Oryzias latipes: one gene and its partners. The protein of the gene in region 2 binds, or shares a complex with, the protein of the main gene of each other region. Links are inferred from orthologs where the notes say so. Each region holds a gene or a part of one and is shown on either strand. Other genes may lie near its edges.

Region 1 (4,166 bases), on a different chromosome or scaffold from region 2:
TTAGGTTTGACAGCCTGGAAACATGTGCATGGTCTTTGTCCTTCAAAAAAAAAATGAGTGCCTCACAACTCTGGGGATCGAAACATTTACAAAATAAAAGCATCAGAACTCCAATTTTAAAATAAATATTAAAAAAAAAAAAAGGAAAATAAAAGGTACTTGCTGAAATTTTTAATTTCATCCTGTGCCATTTCCTGTGGATCTTTAAAAAAAAGAAAAAAGAAAAAGTGGCCTCAACACAAAAAAGGGAAGAAAAGAAAAACACGTTCATTAGGCAGATGAGCTACATTTGTACCATTCCTTGCTGTTGAGTTAGGAAGATGACGGCATAAAGGCACACTGTTGAGAAACTAAAACCATGATTTTCTTTCTTTTTTTTTAAATGTAGCATTTATGGACTGGGTCAACACCACAGTGCCTTTCAAAAATATTAATAATAATAATAAAATGCAAACAGAACAGCATTTTGGAAACATGTTTCAAACCGAACACTTCAAGTCAAATCAAAATTCACACCTCTTTTACACAAAGGATTAAAAAAAAAAAAAAATCAATGTTTTTATGTGCTACATAGAAAACATATATATTTATTTATTAAATTATTTACACACAGGTAGTTAAAAAAAGAAAAAAATCAAACCTAATTGCACGCTGCTACATGGACTGCTGTTAGAGGCAGTAACATTTCAATGAGTGCCACAAACTTTAGTGTTTCTCTTCAGTGCTTCAACAGCGTCCTCCCCCGTCCTCAGGAGAGCTGATATGTTTCTGATGCTGTGTAGATCCTCGTCCAAAAAAAGGAAAGAATAATTAAAAAAAAAAAAAAAAGATCAACGCAGTCTTAAAAACAAAAAAACAAAAAAAAACACATGCACGCATACGCAAACACACTCGTACAGAGAAAAAAAAACTGGGAGGGGCACATCTTGAGCTCTGTTGGAGATCAGAACAAAAGACAAAAACAAAGAGGTTGAAAGGTTAGTACTTTTTTTTCTTTTAGGAGATGCAACTACTACTGCTAAAGTATTGACAGTGTTCTGAGGTATGACTGAAAAAAAAGAAGAAACTAGTCATTTCCAAAAACAAAACAAAACTATCAACTCAAATAAAGCTCGGCTGCATACCATTTACAAAAACGTGCAATTTTTTCAGTTCTGTTAACTTTTATTTTTACTAAGAAGAGACGAAAATGAACATGGGATTTTTTTTTACTTAAAGATAAATCGAAGTCAAAGTTCCGCTAATTTAACCTTGACTTTTTTTGCCACAACCTTTAAAGGTTCACACCTGACAGCTTAGAGCAGGTTTCTGTGCTCCTTCTCTCTTGTGGGTCATAGTAGACCTGCAGAACTCTCGTACTCTCCTCTGCAGCAGGGAGTGTACATGTCTGCGTGTGTTTCTGCGCGCGCGCGCTCAGAGACCTGCCCCTTCCCGTCCGCGCGGAGGCCACTGGCTGCTGACGTGTTACTACTACACTGTTGTTCAGCTTGTTGTTTACAGTTCAGCAGACGAACATCGGCCGCAAGGAGGAAAAAACTTTTTTTTTTAAAAATTCTTTATTGGCGTGTCATATAAATCCTCTTGGTTTAATAAACAGACTTCACTTTTTTGCGCTAGAATGCGTCAATACAAATAAAAAAAAAAATGATGTAAAATTTAATATCTTTTTTTTTTTTTAAATTCGAGGTTAACAGTTTTTTTTAAATTGAAGTGGTTCGCTCACCGTGTCGCCGTGCTCACGTTGGTCTCTTGGGGCTGGTCTTTCTGGGTGTGTGTTCTGCAGACTGGCTCAGGCTCGGACAGCTAACCTCCTCCGGGCTGGTGTGAGACTTCTTACTTGGGGCCGAAGGGTCTGCAAAAATAAATAAATGAGTAAAATAAACTATATATTACAGAGAGAAAAAAATGGTCGGGGTGCTCAATGTTCTCTGGGATTTTACGGCAGTTTCCCCCGCTTTACGACCCCCTCATCCCGCATACCAGTACCGCGAGCACAAAGCTGCCGCCCGGCGATCTGTTACACAGCAACGGGTCGTTTGATGCTAATGTCATACCGTGACACGCAGGTCTCTTCCTCAGCCCGCCGCACTGCTCCGTGCACTCCATCTGAGCGTCAGAGCGGCTGGGAACTGTCCCGACACAGTCATGATTCCCGTTTAGATCCACATTGTTATTCCCGGGGCAAACGCCTCGTTCTCGCCGCGGCAGGCGGGTGTAGAAACTCGGCAGGTCTCTGGCGTTCACCAGCTCCCACTCCAGCCTGCTGTTGGGCAGCGGTGTGTCAGTCGCGAAGTCGAAGCCCCACTTGGCGGAGGCAGCCTCTTCAAACTCCCGCAAATGTACATTTAAATCCCTCTTTAACTCTTCGTGGTCCACCGAGCCGAAGAGGCTCCTGCAGGCTGACGGCTTCGGGTGTTCCGACACCCGGGGCTCCGTCCTCTCCAAAGTCGGGCTCCCGCTCGAAAGTCGAACGTTAGACATGGTTAAGCCCCCCGGAAAAAAGGTAAAAATTTCAAGCAGCCGGGAGCGTCCAGTTTTCAGGCGAAAAACACACCTCAAGAAGAAAAAAGAAAAGAAAAAAAAGGTATGTCCTCCTAGTCACGGGGAAAGATCCAAAACAGGCGTGAAACGACCATGCGCACGTCGAGCTGGAGGCAAACACGGCTGCGATTTCCTGAGCCGAAGACGGCTTACGCCAATCATCCAAACGACGGGAGAACGAACCAAAGCTCGCTGTCAACGTCGCTCCGTACAGCGGGAAGCGGAGGCGAACCTCTCGGTACCCAATATGGCGATTGAGACATGTAGTGGGGATTGAGAGGGGAGGTTGACTTTGGAGGGAGGGGGAGGAGGGTTACACATGATTGACATACGGAGCCATTTAAAACCCAAGAAGCGCACTCATTGGATGGAGCTCTTTAGACCCGCCCACTTTATTTAAGGTAGACCGAATAATTGCATAAGGCATGCTGTTCTAAACATATTACTTACCTTTTTTATTTTTTTTACAAAGTAAATAAGTTCACACATTTGATGTAACTTAATGTACAAGTTTCAAAAAGTAAAATGGATTAAACATTTTAAGACATCTAAATTTGAAGAAAAAAATTGGATTGCAACCATACAAATAGTGCCAATATGTTCTAAAACACACATATTCAGTATTTATTTTAAACATTTTGGATGTACAGTAAAATTAATAAATACAATTAAAATGGAGTAAAATCCAAAACAAAACTGAAATTGTTGCATCATATTCTTTCAATGGACACTAATAAATGAACCTGTGGTCCTAAATGGAGATAAAGTCCAGTAAGAGGACCCCAAACTGAGCTGATTTAGTAAAAGCCTAATAAACATTTTAATTCTAAAAAATTTTCTTACCGTAACAAAATCTGTACATATATCGGAATTATTGACTGAAAATATTTATATATGAAGTAATAACATATAAAGATGAAAATAAATTTCTGCTATCCTAAAGTCAACTGTTTTTTTCCAGATTTATCATAAAGCTTCTTAGTTTTTACTTTTTATTCACATGCAAAAAAAAATAAACACCCCTAAATGAGAATAGAGGGCAGCTTGATGCTTAAATTGAAAGTGGCGCAGTCGTCTTTAAATAGAACCAAAAGCCTTTTGACAGAAATGATGCAATCTAATTTAGCTGTGAGCAATTATTTACTCAAAGGGTCAGAGCAGGATAGGAGGTGCAGCAGTGTTCACTCAACCACTGTCAAGCCAACAGCGCCCCCTAGAGCTTCATCTAACACACAACTCTGGAAGCACAAATCTTTTAATACCTTTAAATACTAAAGTTGTCTGTACGATTACATTTTTAACAAAGGCCACATGGACTTACAGAGTCACCATTATGAGTCCGCTACAGTCTGCTTTAGTCGCCTACCTTGCCTGTAAGTCCTTTACGGCGTACAGGCACTGCGGTGGGCGGTGCAGCCTCAAAGACCGAGCCACTTGATGATGTAGTAGTTCCTCTTGCCCACTCTGAGCAGAGTGAGTCCGTTGGACAGGACGTGGAGTTTGGGGACGAGAACCTGCTCCGGTTTGTCCGCCCGTGTGTGGTTGATCCACACGGCTCCGTCTGAAACCATCTGGTACCTGCAAGCGAACACGACGGCTCAGTCAGGATCCAAATCCCATTCATT
Region 2 (3,756 bases):
ACCTCCCAACCAAAACTCAGAAACCTCTGTTCTCTTTGACCAGTCTACGTCTCTTGACGCGCAGAAACGTTGGCTGAAAATAGTTCATTTCATCTATGATCAACCTCCAAACTTAGGTCTATTCGGTCTAATGGAGGTCCGTTTTATCACAACCTTTCATTCTAAAACATGCTTAACCCTTGTGCTATCTTAGATGACCCCCCCCTTCCATTGACGTGTTCTCCCTACCATGACAAAGGTGGATAAAGGTGGAAAGATTTCATGTAATCCATGGACACCAGTGAAGATCACAAATCATTGAAGAAAAAAGGTTCAGAGCACTGTCTAGTGGGTCTAGATGACCCAACTCCCAATCTTAAAGTGCCTAGGATAGCACAAGGGTTACATTTGCACTGTTTAAACTCAAGTGAAGCACTGATTCTATTTAATCCAGAAAGTGTCAGTCAAAGATGTGAGCTTGGAGATGAGTGGTTTGGGTGTGTGAAGGTTTCAGGCAACAAATGGTGGCCAGCTTTCCTAGTTCATGTTTTTATTGTGTCGTCAACACAAAAATGAATACATTATCCTGGGTGCAGACAGCTGACATGAAAACAATCGGTTTGGAATGATCCGTGAACACAGCACAAGGATGATCTATGGCTTACCGAGGATGAGACTGAATGTATTTACAAACTCAAATCGACTCACTGGAAGTTTGAAAAATTGGAGCAGGTTTTTTTTTTTCTCTTTATAAATATAAAAAGGGGGAAGGAAGAGAGGCCATTATGGGCCTAATGGGGGGATAAAGTCTCTTTTATCGAGACAGCTTAACACTCAACAGAGTTATACACATCCCATTTTCTGTTATGGCACCAGTTACAACGCACGGCCTGGACACGCTGGTTTCCATCGCAGATGCTTCACCTACAAAAGGTCAAAGCTGGCAAGCACTGAACCAGCGAGCACAATGAAACACGCACACACACACACACACACACACACAACTAAAAATCAGAGATCATGACTGTCACATGAGGTATTGTGAATCAAAGCATTACTGTACATTGTCAATTCGTCCTTGTATTTGGAATAGTTTGGAAAAAAAAAAAAATCACATTAGATAATTACAACCAAAAGATCACATAGTCTACACAGAACAAATGGTGACATCAACAACTTCCTATTAGAAAATTCAGACCTAGAATGGCAGTACATTTATACATATAAAAAATAGCAGCAAACAACAGAAAAAAAAGCATTGTTTTCATTTCATATCTGTTTTTTGTATTTTTATTTTTGTCTTTAAACACAAAGCTCAAATGTATCTTCTATAGCAGCAAAATACAAGGAGTGTTTCTCTCCTACGTTCTATCCTTACTGTAGAATCAGAAACCTACTTTAAAAGGATCCTACACTCAGACTCCGCCTCATTCCTTATAAAGTGAATGTCCATCTGAGCAGAAATGCCTCCTCTTTATGGGACGAAGCCCCAACCACTCTAAAGCAGTTTCTGATGAGCCTTTCTCCTCTTTGTTTCATTTTTGACACTTCAAACTGTTGCCCACTATACTCTCCACCAGTTTTTGAGGCAAGTCCAAGAGAAGCCCCGCCCACGTCCTTAAGGTTTGTGCAAAAATCATCTCATATTCTCATCGCTCCCCTTTCTTCAACTTGATCCATTTTTCATAATCCATGAGCAGTATTTGAAGTGAGGAGGAGTATGGAGGGATGCCGTCCTGGTGGTTCAGGTCAACTCAAGCTTACGGTTTTACAGCATTTCATTGGCAAACATCTGCACAAGTGGGCGGAGCCACAATTGAAAGTTGTAAAAATAAATAGGTTTTACGATATGGAATATAAAGCATTACTTTAGCTATAAAAATAATCCTTTTACCTCCTCAGATTTAGCCTTTGGCTCTACATGCTTGCAGTTGTAGTGAACCTGTGAAAAGCTCAGGGCGGCTCTGCCTGAACTAACACTGCACAAGTGAAACTAGCAGGACAGGAAGGCTGCTATGACGGGCCTTTCCCAGACATAAAAACAAGTCTATCTGCAACACTGGTCAATTCTTTGTCCCATCTGATGAATCTGAACCAGCTGCTCGACCACTGCATCACCAACCTCGGGTTCCATTGCAAACTCTACCACCACGATTTTTCTTTCAGTTGAGCCAGCACGGCTGACCAAAAGTGCTTCTTTCTTGAAAACAATACATTGGAATGGTATTAGATCTAACTACACAAAAGAAGAAACCATCAGAGTCTGGACAGCTCTGCTCGCATTAGCACTGACTTGATTTGATCAATTGCTGCAAGCGGAAACGGGTCAAATGAATCATCAAGAAAGACTAGCGTTTGTCCACACCAGCAGCAGACAAAAACACAACTTCACTCACAGACGGGTTTTAAAAACTACCCAAAAGCTTAGAACAAAAGAGGTATAAGGCTAAATAATATAATAAAGTGACTAAACATAAACAAGCATGGGGTAAATGGATGCCTGAACTACAAGACAAACACGGGGACTTAGAAAAAGCCTAACTCATTCTAAACAAAAGAAACTGGTTCAAAACAGCATCTTTGCTTTGATAAATGTTGGGTTTCAGGTGGACAGACTGTGAAGGCCTACTGAACACCACACTTTGGGATCCTTAAGTAGTCATCATCAGTCCACAGCAATTTAAAAGATTCCTAGTTTGAAATGGAGGATAAGAACCAAAAGAATCAGTTTGTGTGGCTCTGACTCCTGCCCACACGGGTCACCGGTGCGCGTTTCTCACTTGTCCATGTCTAGTGTTCTGGTCTATGTCCAGGATTGGAGGGGACACTGGCAAGGAATGTGGTGGGAGGTGCGCTGCATGGCAAGAAGGGTGCGCCACCTTGCCTTGGCAGTCGTGGTGGACAAGTGAGTGACATCCGTTGAAGCAGCTGCGCACCAGGCAACCGAGGAAGAGAGGAGGGGAGGCAGTAATCAGGCCCCCCCTTCTTTGCTTGCCCATCTTCTAACAACAGAGTTCTCCCAACACTGGGATTAGGACATGCTGGTGACCATCTCAAATGTTGATGTCCCGCACGTCTGTTGGCGTGCAGGACAGGTCCACCTCTTCATCCACACGCTTGGCTTCCGTCACGCTGCCATGCTGCTGCGCCTGCCGCAGGCTGGACTCCAGCAGAGACTCAATCTGCTCCTGACACGACCGCAAACAGTCCTGCAAACAAACAACTGGTCAGAAAAAAACGTGCTGCCACTGCGCAACAGCAAAGACACGAGCCCTCTTCAGGGTTAGAGGTTAGACAGTGCGAGGGGTTTTCCATACCGGGTCACTGCGGATGACCTGAGACAGGAAGTTAGTCAGGTTCTGAGAGGACAAGGAGGCATCTTGGCTTTTCAAGTAGAGTCCTTGAACAGCTGCCACCACACTGCCGGCTGCCACCATTGATGGAGGACTGGCTATAAAGTTCACATCTGTAGAGGCAGAAGAACGTTCACATTTGGTTCGGGTATCTGCAAGCCGTTTTCCGTCACATCGTATGTTTGCACGTTTGTTTCTGTTCTTTCAGCATCACCATCCTATGCTGTGGGTTCGAATACCAAAGACCTGACCGGAACAGCAAGTTAACCGTGACGCAAAAACTGCTGACCACTACAGGGAGGAGGAGTTCCTCCAGTTTGATCAATGTATTTTCTAAGCTGACTCAAATCAATTTGGTTTGCAGCCACATTGTCAGGACTCTGAAAGGAAGCCGTCCATCCGTTCTACCATTTATCAGGACTTG
Region 3 (2,847 bases), on a different chromosome or scaffold from region 2:
TGCTCCAAAGAGATAAATTGCTACACACTGAACATTCATAATCCAGAGCCATTCACACGTCAGGACAGAGCAGCAGATGAATTTGACGAATAAGAGACAGGACATGAAGGGAAATGCAGGTTTGTGGTTCGTGATGGAAGCAGAGCGTCTCTAGACTTGGAGACGTTGAATCTCTTTTTCCCAATAGTTCATATAAAACTCTTCACTTCAGCATAAAAAAAGGGGGGACATTGTGATTTTAACACATGCTGTACATCTTCCTCCTCTCCTGTGGGTGGGAGCCGAGATGTGGAATGTACAGCGGCGAAAATGTCTGTCATCACTTTGGCAACCGCTTGATCCAAATGAGGATAAATCCACTGATTCCGTGGATTACCGTTAATCTTCTCTGCTCAAATGTCCCCTTCTTAGCCCAGGGAAAGGCACCGATCCCCCCCCACATACAGTAGCCTAATTAACTGAGCAGTGAAATGTAGCTGAACCCCTCCCGAGTTCACAGGTACGGACTCCTGCGGAGGGCGTGGCTTCTGAGTGGGGCGTGGCGTGTGCGCTCCTCCGTCACTCGCCCGATTTCCGCGGCATCCAGACCATTCGTCGTTTAGCTTGGTAGAAATCTGCAGGGATGAAAGCGACACTGAGCTCAGGGGGAATCGGTGCAACGACACAGACGCAGCTGAACGTTCCACTCCCATCATATTTTGAGAAAAGCCTTCCCTGTCGTCTTTTGATTACGATTATGCCTTTTTTAGCCAAAATGAAATAATCTTGTCGTCACCTCTGAGATGTGGGCGGGGCATTAGCTCAGAGTAACCCCGCCCCTACCTCCCATTATCCATCTATTTGTACCCTCTCTAGCTGGCTTACAGCCCCTCACATTACTCTTCTAGCTCAGACGAGGGACTAAAAAAGTTTTTTGGACCTATTTGTCTGTAAATGAATGCAGATACTCTCTTTTTCTAACATTTTTTATCTGCTTTGAACAATTAAATACTAAGCTTTTCTTTATAAATGTCCTCCATCGTCAATAAAGCGTCATAAGAACACGATTCAAAACAAATGAAAGCACCTGTGATGTTTGTCTGTTTCCTCTTCATCCCGGCCTTCTCCTCCTTCTCTGGTGTTTTCTCCACGTTGAAGATGTTCTCTGTCAGTGGGATGTTCTCCTTCTCCCTCTGCGGCAGCTCAGATCTTCGTCTCTTGGGGGGGGTCCTGGTCTCCGCCGTCTTCTGGACCCGTCCAGCATCCTGACAGCGGTACAGCAGCGGCACTCCGGCCCCCGGGACGCTCTCCCACAGGAAGTGGCTGCCCTCCAGGGGCTTGTCGGAGCGGAAGTCGAAGCCCCAGCGAAGGGACGCTTCGTCCAGGTCTTTCCGCAGGGCGGCCTGGTACTCCAGCTGAAGCTGCTCCCGGTCCACCGGGCCAAACAGGTTTCGCCTCGCGGGCCTCCTGGGAGCGGCGGGAATCCGCTTTGGAGCAGCCATGGTTCTGCACTGTTTGAACACAGAACACTCCTGGTTAGATCTCAGATGTCATATGATGATGAGATGGATCATGTAAAGCAGTAAAAGAGTCAAAGAAAAACCCAAAGTGTAAAAAGTTCCGAGCTCACCATGACTGTTCACTCTACAGACCATCAGAGAAAAGCAGAGCTGTGCCTCTCCTCTCCTCCCTCCCTCTTAGGAGAGGCTGAATCATCGGTACATGCCTGGACATAATCTGACAGGCCGACAACACAGAGCCGCCACTAGGGGGCAGAGTGGCAATGACAGATCCACCACCAGAGGTGTCCTTCCACCTCAGTCTGCATGACAGACCGCATCACCCTGAACAGGACATTTTCCTTTTTAGGAAAAAAGGAAGTCCATCCCAGGCCAGGCTGGTTATCCAGGAGGACAAAATAGTCCACAGTAAAGCTTGTTGTTTTTTTTTTAAAGAGAGCAGAAAATGAGGATAGACAGCAAACAAACCCCCAGCAGCTTGTTAGATATGATTTTATTATAATACATAAATTAAAAATGGTTGTTCCTGTTTTTTTTTTGTTTTAAAAAACACTTTAGAAAACAATTTATACCAAAAATATGAATATTTTCCTTTATCTGGTTTAAAACTATTTCCAGTTCTTTAGTGATAATGTTTAAATTAATATTTAGGTTTCTCCACATTATAATCCCGCTGTTCTTAAAGCTCAGACTGATGGATATTGACATTAAATATCTTATTTTTGAATGTTTTGATTCTTCCATTGAGGCTGGAACGGTGATCTAGCAGAGTAACCCAGACTTTTCATGACGTCATAGACCGACATAAAGCTTCTGTTGTCTCTTCGGGGCGGGGTCACTGGGGGCGCGGCCGACTCCCATCGGGGCGGGCGTTCAGGCCATGGCGGGAGAGTATGAATCCGGGTTTGGACCAGCCCCGTTCGGTTACTACGAGGCTCCACGTGAACCTGGAGCACGTGTCCCCCATTCAAACGGGGCTGTCACCGCCGTACTCACGCGGAGGACGCGCGCGCGCATCAAAACACCCTAGATAGGACTTCTGGAAAACTTTTTTTTGATTTAATAAGTTACCAGGAAACTTTTTTAATTCATATAACCAGAATGTTGGATCAACGACGCTGAAGTTAGCATCCGATTCACAGCTTCCGATTCGCGAGTGCACTAAAGGAGCATTCCACTGTTTTTTTTGCACTAAGATCTCCTTAGATGGGGTCCGGTTCAAAAACTGCTGGACCTAGACTGCTCAAACCTGGATTAAATTATGATTTAGATACTGAAGAATACATTAAACACAGTTTCTGATTTGTGAAACCTTCCTCTGATTTGTGAAAATGTGAAATAGGTTGAT
Region 4 (4,134 bases), on a different chromosome or scaffold from region 2:
TCTGGTGTTAAACGGTCAGGGTTGTGTCGTAACTGAAAATGATTTATTCCAAGAAAAGAAGCCAAAACAGACAGCAAAAACAAATGAAATAATCATCTCCAAAGCGATTGTTCAAAAAAACAACATTAACCAAACCGCTGCTGATGATCAAGACGTGAGCACACAGCAGATCTTACCACAGGAGTGAGGGCCATGTGGCAGCTGTATATCCTCGCTAAGCCAAAGTCTGCTAGTTTGACCTGGCCCTGGCTGGTCACCAGAATGTTCTCGGGTTTCAGGTCTCTGTGCATCACGCGGTTTGAGTGGAGGAAGGAGAGGCCAGACAGCAACTGCTTCATCAAGTCCTGAAGACAGAGAAATATTTCACACAAAAAAAGAAAGAGAATCAGTTCCAAACAGTAGCTGCCATCAGTTTTTATTCTTTTCTTCAGGGACTCACTTTCACGCGCTCTGGTGACAACCCTGGAGCTGGAGCTCTCTCTAGATACGTTTTCAGGTCTTGGTCCACATGCTCAAACACCAGAGTGACTTTGGTTTCCTGGTCGGATCTCTTGGTGGCACACACATCCATAAGCCTGGATGAAAGTAGCAAGCACTGATGAGGTGGAGGGGGGGCAACATTTGAGACAAAACCTGTGATAACTCTCCTACCTGACCACATTGGGGTGGTCAAACTGCTCTAGGCGCTTCAACAGCGCCACCTCTCTGACCGTGGACACCGGGAGGCCATTTTGGTCAGTCTGGACGCGCACGTTCTTCAGGGCGACGAACTTGCCACTCTCGATGTCGCGAGCCTTGTAGACGGTCCCGTATGCGCCACCACCGATCTCTGCCACCGGCTCGTACTGCAGACCGGTGCACTGCGCCATGCTCAGACTGGGAGACGAGACTGGGGTCATCTCACATTTATACAGACACCTCAAACTCCAGAGCAGCACTTTTGAGGGATTTACTGAGGGAAAAAGTCTTTAAAAGAACCACTCCAAAAGAAAACAGCGTTTCTGGTTGTTTGACATGTTTTGGTAGCATTTTCTTCTCATGTTGGAGGACATATATTAGGAAAATTGAAATTAAAACTGCTTTACTACTTCTTCTTTTTTCAAATCATAGTGAATCAGGAGCAGACCAAAAACTGCTGTTAGAAAAAGTTTTTACTTGTATACAAAATACAATCGGCGGGCCTCAAGCTCCCTGTTTCTGTCCATGCAGATACATCCACTCGCAGATGACTAGATCCATCTTCGTTTTCCTCGTCTGAGCTAGTATCTGGCTCAAAGCTATATGGCCGGGTAACTCCAATAATGATCACCATTTATTTGTGCTGCTTGCGGTTGTGAGGGACTGTAAGCTAGCAAGACAGAATGCAGACAAAGGGATGATGGGAAGTCAGGGCAGGCTTGCTCAACACAACTCAGAGGAAAAATTTTGATTACCGTAACTCCATCTGCTCTGCAGAAACTATGTCCTAGAAAATTACACAACATTAAAAGATCACTGGGAACGCTTTTAAAATAGATCAAATGATGATTGGAGTGGCTCTTTAGTGTTTTTAAATCAGGAATCTCTCTCTGCACATAAGGAATGGTTTGACAATGATGCCTGGCTGGATTGATCCCTTCCCCAGAGTGACATGTGACATTTGTGTCACTTTGTGTCAAAACTTTCCTGAGCTTCTCCTGTGCGTTTAGTGTTTCGTTTTCCTGCAGCAAGTTTTTCTGCCTCTGCTGTTTGTTTACAGCATAGAAACCAGAGGACAAAAGAGCCGCAAAAAGATCAATTTATACACATTAAAAGCACATTTTTGAGAGACTTTTGCATAAAGCACCAACACAGTGGAGCATTTTTCTTTAACTTGGTTTATCCTAAATGATGGGAAAATGCTTTTTGGTAATTTTTTTGGAAATGAATATATATACTATTCCAGATTAGAGTACATGGAATTATGTAAAAACTTATTTTTATAAATCAAACAACATACAATAAATAGAAAAGAAATAAAATTCACAAATCTATAAATTTTTAACTAAAACAATCATTTCTGTGTTTTGGGAGAGACACAGTGAGTCCAGAGTATAAACTAGGTGAAACTCCCAACAGCCGTTGTTTGAGGGGATCTTCTTGAACCAGTTTGCGCATGACAGCAGCTCGTGATCACAGAAAAATGTATCGATTATCAGATAGGCAAAGCCGGACGTTCGCCCTCCATGTCTCATTCATTCCCCGCCTTATCAAGCGAGAAGCAGGCCGGTGACTCCAAAGCAGTGGGCGGATGTTCATGTGAAATCAGTAGGCCGGGGCAGACACGTGGTGCTCCTCTGTGGCAGTCCTTTGTTAATTTAGAGCAAGAAAATGCAGCAGAAACAGTCCACATGCACTTTTCTAGCTCACACACGCACACACACGTGTCTGATCATTGGTCTGAACGTGGCGGAAGAAAAAGCGGGGGACTATAGTCAGCGGCGGAGGAGACACATCACCGCCTTTTAACTTTTCACATCTGTTCAACATAAAAGCGTAACGCGGCAAAACCATACTCCTCCGCAGGTTTGTGTATTCGACAGGTCACACATAAAAAAAGCTTACCTCGGCCGTTTTTTTTCTTTAAGGGCAAGAGAGCTCACTTTAGTTCGAGCATGCTCGTTGATCTGCCACGTTTATCTGGAGCAGAACGGGTCAGAGGTGGCAGGTCGAGTCCAGGCTGAAGTTTACGGCCGAACAGCGACTTTGATGTGGAAAAGATTTCGGCCTCCGCCGCTTTCCTTCCAGCCTGCGCTCGTTTTCGGTTATCTTCCTGTTGCTTTAGCTTCTCAGGGGGCGGAGCTTAAGTTTTTACCACAAACCATTTGAAGAAAAAAACAAAAAAAGCTTTTTGTTATCAAAAGCCACAAATTCGTGCGACCTATTTTTTGTTAAGCCGTTTTATTTAAAAAAGGGGGGAAAACGACCCCACTTGCTTCACATAAGAGGGAGAAAACAGTGATTTACTGTTTACACTAAATAAAAAAGAAATGGACAAAAATGTTATAAACTTGGAAAGCCTATATCTTATTATAGAGGTTTTTAATACATATATTTCATTTTAAGGCAATGTAATTAGGTAATTCAATAATCAAATCATGGTTGATTGGGTTTTTTATAAGATACCTAACTTTTCTATTCTTCAACCAGAAATTAAGTCAATAAACTAGAGTATCTTCACTGGAAGTGTTTTATTTTTTTTCACTCCATTGACTTACACAACTGCAAACTATCATTGTGGTTGTTTACACCACAGTTAAAACTGTGGTTTTGTTTAGAGAACTGAATAGATCAATGTTAAAAAAGAATTAGAAAATGAATGTAATTAAATATGTTGAAAGAAAATATTTACATTGTTAAAAAAAAACCTTTTATACAAATAGTTGAAATTAAAAATCTCAATCTCTAAAAAATTATTTAATTCAGTGATTTGGATTTTCAAATTAAGTGAATGTCAACATTTTAATGACGTCCACAATGTGGTTTTCTAATTATTTTGATCCTACGGTATGCTGCCTTCTTTTTCATGAATGTATTGTAAAGATTAGTATGTTAACATTAATGATTTATTTGTAAATAACGGGTTAAATAAAAAGCTAAATGTGTTGTAAAAACATGATTTTTAAAAATATATGCACATCAGTTTAAATATTTTCTTGAGAGTTGATACCAGCATAGTTTTTAGTTGTTCATTAATGTTACCATAAAAGCTTACTTTAAATTTATTCATTGCAAAATGAGACAAAATTGGTCAAAATTTTGTCCTATTTTAAAAACAAACAAACAAATAAAATACACCCTCAAGGTATAAAACATTTAACTCTGTTCAAAATAAATTTAATGCAACATTATGTGGTAAATTCAATACTATAAAATGCCAGTTTTGCATGTTTAAAAGATAAGAGATTAGACCTCAAGCCAGAACTTATTAAAAGTTCACTAACTTACATCGTAAAATATTTAAACTCACAAATAAGAGTTTCCTCAATTTTGATTTTTCAAATTAGTAAAAATGTCATTAAAAAAAATAATGTCATAAAAATAAAAATATACAGAAAGGAGTAGTTATTATATTACCCAGTGTTGTCTGTCTTTAAGCCACTTTTGTAAGATCTG
Region 5 (3,513 bases), on a different chromosome or scaffold from region 2:
CTCGTCTTTAGCAGTGTAGCTTTCCACAGAATCCGGTGTCAGACCGTGGAAAAAGTGAACAAAACAATGAAACTCAGAGACGCTTGTCTGCGGATTTTTCCACTAAATCTCCCATGATGCATTGGGTTAAAGTGACAGCGTCTTGGCGAACAATGAGTCTCTCCTCTTAACGTCTTAAAACAACAACAAACACACAGTTTTTAAATCTTCTAACTTAACTTTTATTACATCTTTTAAAAAAACAGCTGCAGCTTCCAGCTTTTTCTGTCACAATTATCACAAAAATGCATGTGAGATTGTGGATGGGCTGTAGATCAATACAGACTAAGAGCTTTTCCTTTTTGTTTTGTTTTCTGGTGCTGCGGGATTTTTGTCATGGTTAAAGTGTGCCGTGGCTCATAAAAGGTTGAAAAACACTGATCTAGATACACTGCTTGGTGCAGATTCTTACCCGGTTCTGTCAGAACCTCGAGTCCGGCTTGTTCCACTATTGTTGACGGAGAACAAGGGTTCACTGTTCGCCTCACTGGGATTCTCTCCTTCACTGCGGTAGAACCTGCACACGCACACAGAAACACGTTTATAATCCAATTTTGCTCTGAGGAAGATCAGGAAGGGCGTCTTCTGAGAGGCGCCTGGACCACAACCTCATTAAACGCACTAATTGAGCTTTTTCAATTAAAACTCTTCCTGTTGAGATGAAGATAATGACATCAGTGCTTCGTGTAGAGGAAGTTTGGGGGGGGGGGGGGTAAGGCTGTAGTTGAAAGGAAAACAAACACCATGCAGAAACGCTTAACTGCTTTTGTAAAAATTCAGCACCACAAACGAGGTTTTTCAATGTTCTGGGAGGTTCTTTAGGGAGGAAATGGCTTCTAAAGTGAAAGCTGTAGCAGAGCTGGATTAAGCTTGTGAAGTTGAAACCCATAATTTATACCGTTGATGTCATGCGTAATTTCCCAAACAACTCGGTAAAACGAGTTAGGGGTCGAGTTTCCAACTGTGACCTGCTGAGCTGCTAGAAACACAGGACAGAGACAGGACTGCAGAGTGACAGGAGTTCATTAGAAATTCCCCTCAGAATTGTGGGCGGGGCTCTCTTTTTACATTCTCCCCAGCTAGCCTACCGTCCCTCACACCCCAAATCTAACATAACCGGTGAAACAAATATGGCGAGCCTTATTGGAGCTATCCAGTCGTCCAGTTCTGATCTAGATGTCATCTCAGATGAAGATAAAACAGAGACGTCCAAGTTGATGCATCAGAATGGAGGGAGCAGGGAGCTTTTGGCCCGCCCAGCATATTCTCAATGTCATAACTATAATCTTTTTTGAGAATCGCAGCAATTGAGAATCATTTATTTGAATAGGGGGGACAGCGCATATTAATAAACATTTCTGTCAATATGCCAGAGTTAGCCAAAGGGCTATTTTTCATCTGCAGTCCCTGGGAAGATGTTAAAAATCACCCTAAAAGATCAAAGTAAAATTACATATTTACATATTTTACATATTTTAAACAGGATTCTTTCGCCTGCTTCTAATTCGGGATTTGAATACGGAAATTTTCTTCACACGTCCATCATCAGAAAAATGCCACAAGAACATGTTAAAAACACCAAATAGATATGTATGTTAAACGTGCTGCTGCAACAATGTTCTCAATCCAGCATTTCTCCCGTATTCAGCTGCTCCTCATGTTTATGCATCATTCCGTCTTATGGTTTCACTAAGATTGTTTCAACAAAGCACCTCATTAAGAGAAATGCTGTTCAAAGTTTAGAAACACTTTTTGGAAAACGTCAAAAACGCATATACATGCTAGATTGAAAGTGTATCCTCCTATTTCCTTTCTTTGGACTTCAGCTTCATCCTGACGGAGACCTTCAACTCAAACGCAGAGGGAGGATCTCAGTCTGAAACTCAGACTCTTCTGGAATCCTGGAAAACAGTTCCTCTGATATCCATCAGGAACATAAATGAAGACCGTCAAATCACGTTAAGAGGTCTAACCTGGCATCCACATGCGTGGACATCACATGTTGGGTTCACCACAGTAGTTAATTCTGCTTGGCCATATGACTATGTGTGTAGAGAATTAGCTTGAATATTAGCTCAGATCTTAAAAGGTTCAAGTCTTTTTCGTTGAAGTTAAAAAATATATATTTTTAACTTGCAGTGGCGGTTCTACACTAACTTACTTGCCGGGCGAGTAACCCCATCAGCGCTCAACAGTAAAAATCCTCCAAAAAACCTTAAAACATTAATAAACAAATGATCGATTGTTTATTAATTATCTCAAATAAACCACAGAAAAGACACGTAATAAATCTACAATAGTCAGTAAATAATGACATTAACATGAGCTGAGTGATCCAACGGCACGCCATGATCTAGGATTTGCGTTATTGCGCCCACTACCCCTCCCCTTTTCCTTCTCTAAGACAGGACCGCGCAGCTGCGGGGGCGCCAATTCGCTGGTTTTAAGCCGTTCCAAAGTCTGTAAAATAATAGATAATAGAAAACCGATAGTGGCACAATTTTTCTTTTCTTCCAAGCACAAGGATGTTGCCCCCCATTGAAATTTGCCCCCGGGCAATTGCCCGTATTGCCCTTGCCTAAAACCGCTACTGTTAACTTGATTCAATCCTATTCGAAACACAAGGACAAAAAGTGAAGCGAGAAAAACTTTGAAAAGAAAAGTATAAGGGCAAAAAACAGTTTGACACAAAAACAGTGAAGCAGCAACACAGAAACAATGCTCAGTGAACACAGGCTTTCTACTGTGTTCCTCACATTTGTCAATTCTTACTACTTTGAAGTCAACTTCAGCTACAGAGGAACAGGAACTCACACGGGCCGGCAGATCACCAGGTCTCCCTTATTGGTCCCGTATGCCAGACCCATCCCTGGATCTGGCAGCCAGCGAGCAGAGTTGATGCTGACGTGGCGCCTCTGGTCTGGCGCCATGGGGTAAACCACGTTAAATACCATCTGAAACACAGGGGGGCAAATACACATGATCACCACTGGAGCATAAGAACAAAACACAGCAACAAAGAGTGAAATGAAAGATTTTTTTTCTCACCCTGATGGATGTCTCTCCTCCATGCGGCTGTTGCAGGCGGAAGACTTGCGCCACCATGTGGTCTGTGGTGGGGTGCAGCAGGATCCTACGAGAGGCCAGTCCCACCATCACGTAGCAGCCCATGGGAGACAGACTGACAGAGATGGCATTGGGACCTGCAGAGGAAAAGATGTCAAGATATGCCGTGGCTCAGCGAGTCAAAGGCTTGAACAAGGGAATGTGGCGGGAATTCGCACCAAATCTCTTGGTGTAAAGCATCTCTCCTAGGTTGTGTGGAGCCAGAGAGTATATGGCCAGGATGCCCTCATCTGGAAAACCACGCTGGCTGCTGGGAATGAAGACCGCTAGTAGCTGACCATCTGCAGAGATGTCACAGCTGGCGTCGTTGTAGATTTTACAGTTTGGCACCAGAACGTTGACCGAGGC

What was found.
Region 1: the proteins of ccnd1 (region 2) and cdkn1b are in contact, whole or in part, in a crystal structure (PDB 6P8F), measured with the Homo sapiens proteins. The link is inferred for Oryzias latipes from reciprocal best matches to the Homo sapiens genes CCND1 and CDKN1B. Residues at the interface, in NP_444284.1 of Homo sapiens: Met56, Ile59, Val60, Trp63, Glu66, Val67, Glu70, Glu92, Lys95, Lys96, Ser97, Arg98, Leu99, Gln100, Leu101, Ile126, Tyr127, Thr128, Asp129, Ser131, Arg133, Glu136, Gln139, Met140, Leu142, Leu143, Asn146, Lys147; in NP_004055.1 of Homo sapiens: Lys25, Pro26, Ser27, Ala28, Cys29, Arg30, Asn31, Leu32, Phe33, Pro35, Val36, His38, Glu39, Glu40, Leu41, Thr42, Asp44, Leu45, His48, Cys49, Met52.
Region 3: the proteins of ccnd1 (region 2) and cyclin-dependent kinase inhibitor 1-like are in contact, whole or in part, in a crystal structure (PDB 6P8H), measured with the Homo sapiens proteins. The link is inferred for Oryzias latipes from reciprocal best matches to the Homo sapiens genes CCND1 and CDKN1A. Residues at the interface, in NP_444284.1 of Homo sapiens: Met56, Ile59, Thr62, Trp63, Glu66, Val67, Glu70, Glu92, Lys95, Lys96, Ser97, Arg98, Leu99, Gln100, Leu101, Ile126, Tyr127, Thr128, Asp129, Ser131, Arg133, Glu136, Gln139, Met140, Leu142, Leu143, Asn146, Lys147; in NP_000380.1 of Homo sapiens: Ser15, Lys16, Ala17, Cys18, Arg19, Arg20, Leu21, Phe22, Gly23, Pro24, Val25, Ser27, Gln29, Leu30, Asp33, Cys34, Asp35, Leu37, Met38, Cys41.
Region 4: the proteins of ccnd1 (region 2) and cdk4 are in contact, whole or in part, in a crystal structure (PDB 2W96), measured with the Homo sapiens proteins. The link is inferred for Oryzias latipes from reciprocal best matches to the Homo sapiens genes CCND1 and CDK4. Residues at the interface, in NP_444284.1 of Homo sapiens: Leu6, Cys7, Cys8, Glu9, Val10, Thr12, Ile13, Ala30, Lys33, Ala34, Thr37, Phe108, Lys112, Met113, Glu115, Pro118, Leu119, Thr120, Ala121, Leu138, Gln139, Glu141, Leu142, Val145, Asn146, Lys149, Trp150, Asn151, Leu152, Ala153; in NP_000066.1 of Homo sapiens: Gly45, Gly48, Leu49, Ile51, Thr53, Val54, Arg55, Val57, Ala58, Leu59, Arg61, Arg62, Ala65, Phe66, Asp76, Val77, Cys78, Ala79, Arg82, Ile87, Val89, Asp129, His132, Ala133, Asn134, Cys135, Ser285, Phe287, Arg288.
Region 5: the proteins of ccnd1 (region 2) and ambra1 are in contact, whole or in part, in a cryo-EM structure (PDB 9IVD), measured with the Homo sapiens proteins. The link is inferred for Oryzias latipes from reciprocal best matches to the Homo sapiens genes CCND1 and AMBRA1. Residues at the interface, in NP_444284.1 of Homo sapiens: Thr286, Pro287, Thr288, Asp289, Val290, Arg291, Val293, Asp294, Ile295; in NP_001354397.1 of Homo sapiens: Arg54, Ser55, Phe57, Val73, His75, Arg96, Thr97, Trp99, Leu116, Ala139, Arg184, Ile945, Asn1012, Asn1029.

Annotation. Positions count from the first base shown.
Region 1 is NC_019864.2:11,436,253-11,440,418, reverse strand, and holds the start of cdkn1b (cyclin-dependent kinase inhibitor 1B), read right to left. Parts: upstream 2,803-4,166; 5' UTR 2,482-2,802; coding exon 2,055-2,481; intron 1,853-2,054; coding exon 1,737-1,852; 3' UTR 1,724-1,736; intron 934-1,723; 3' UTR 1-933. Other genes in the region: yars2 (tyrosine--tRNA ligase, mitochondrial), read right to left, coding at 3,960-4,119. UniProt on the Homo sapiens protein: Important regulator of cell cycle progression. Inhibits the kinase activity of CDK2 bound to cyclin A, but has little inhibitory activity on CDK2 bound to SPDYA. Involved in G1 arrest. Potent inhibitor of cyclin E- and cyclin A-CDK2 complexes.
Region 2 is NC_019861.2:4,926,016-4,929,771, forward strand, and holds the end of ccnd1 (G1/S-specific cyclin-D1), read right to left. Parts: intron 3,446-3,756; coding exon 3,297-3,445; intron 3,189-3,296; coding exon 3,033-3,188; 3' UTR 513-3,032; downstream 1-512. UniProt on the Homo sapiens protein: Regulatory component of the cyclin D1-CDK4 (DC) complex that phosphorylates and inhibits members of the retinoblastoma (RB) protein family including RB1 and regulates the cell-cycle during G(1)/S transition.
Region 3 is NC_019863.2:2,308,765-2,311,611, forward strand, and holds cyclin-dependent kinase inhibitor 1-like, read right to left. Parts: upstream 1,495-2,847; 5' UTR 1,491-1,494; coding exon of another isoform or gene 1,482-1,490; coding exon 1,067-1,481; intron 615-1,066; coding exon 559-614; 3' UTR 514-558; downstream 1-513. UniProt on the Homo sapiens protein: Plays an important role in controlling cell cycle progression and DNA damage-induced G2 arrest. Involved in p53/TP53 mediated inhibition of cellular proliferation in response to DNA damage.
Region 4 is NC_019863.2:27,222,147-27,226,280, reverse strand, and holds the start of cdk4 (cyclin-dependent kinase 4), read right to left. Parts: upstream 2,809-4,134; 5' UTR 2,584-2,808; intron 877-2,583; 5' UTR 870-876; coding exon 652-869; intron 576-651; coding exon 440-575; intron 345-439; coding exon 177-344; intron 1-176.
Region 5 is NC_019864.2:26,790,960-26,794,472, reverse strand, and holds part of ambra1 (activating molecule in BECN1-regulated autophagy protein 1), read right to left. Parts: intron 3,513-3,513; coding exon 3,324-3,512; intron 3,243-3,323; coding exon 3,088-3,242; intron 2,994-3,087; coding exon 2,854-2,993; intron 557-2,853; coding exon 452-556; intron 1-451. UniProt on the Homo sapiens protein: Substrate-recognition component of a DCX (DDB1-CUL4-X-box) E3 ubiquitin-protein ligase complex involved in cell cycle control and autophagy.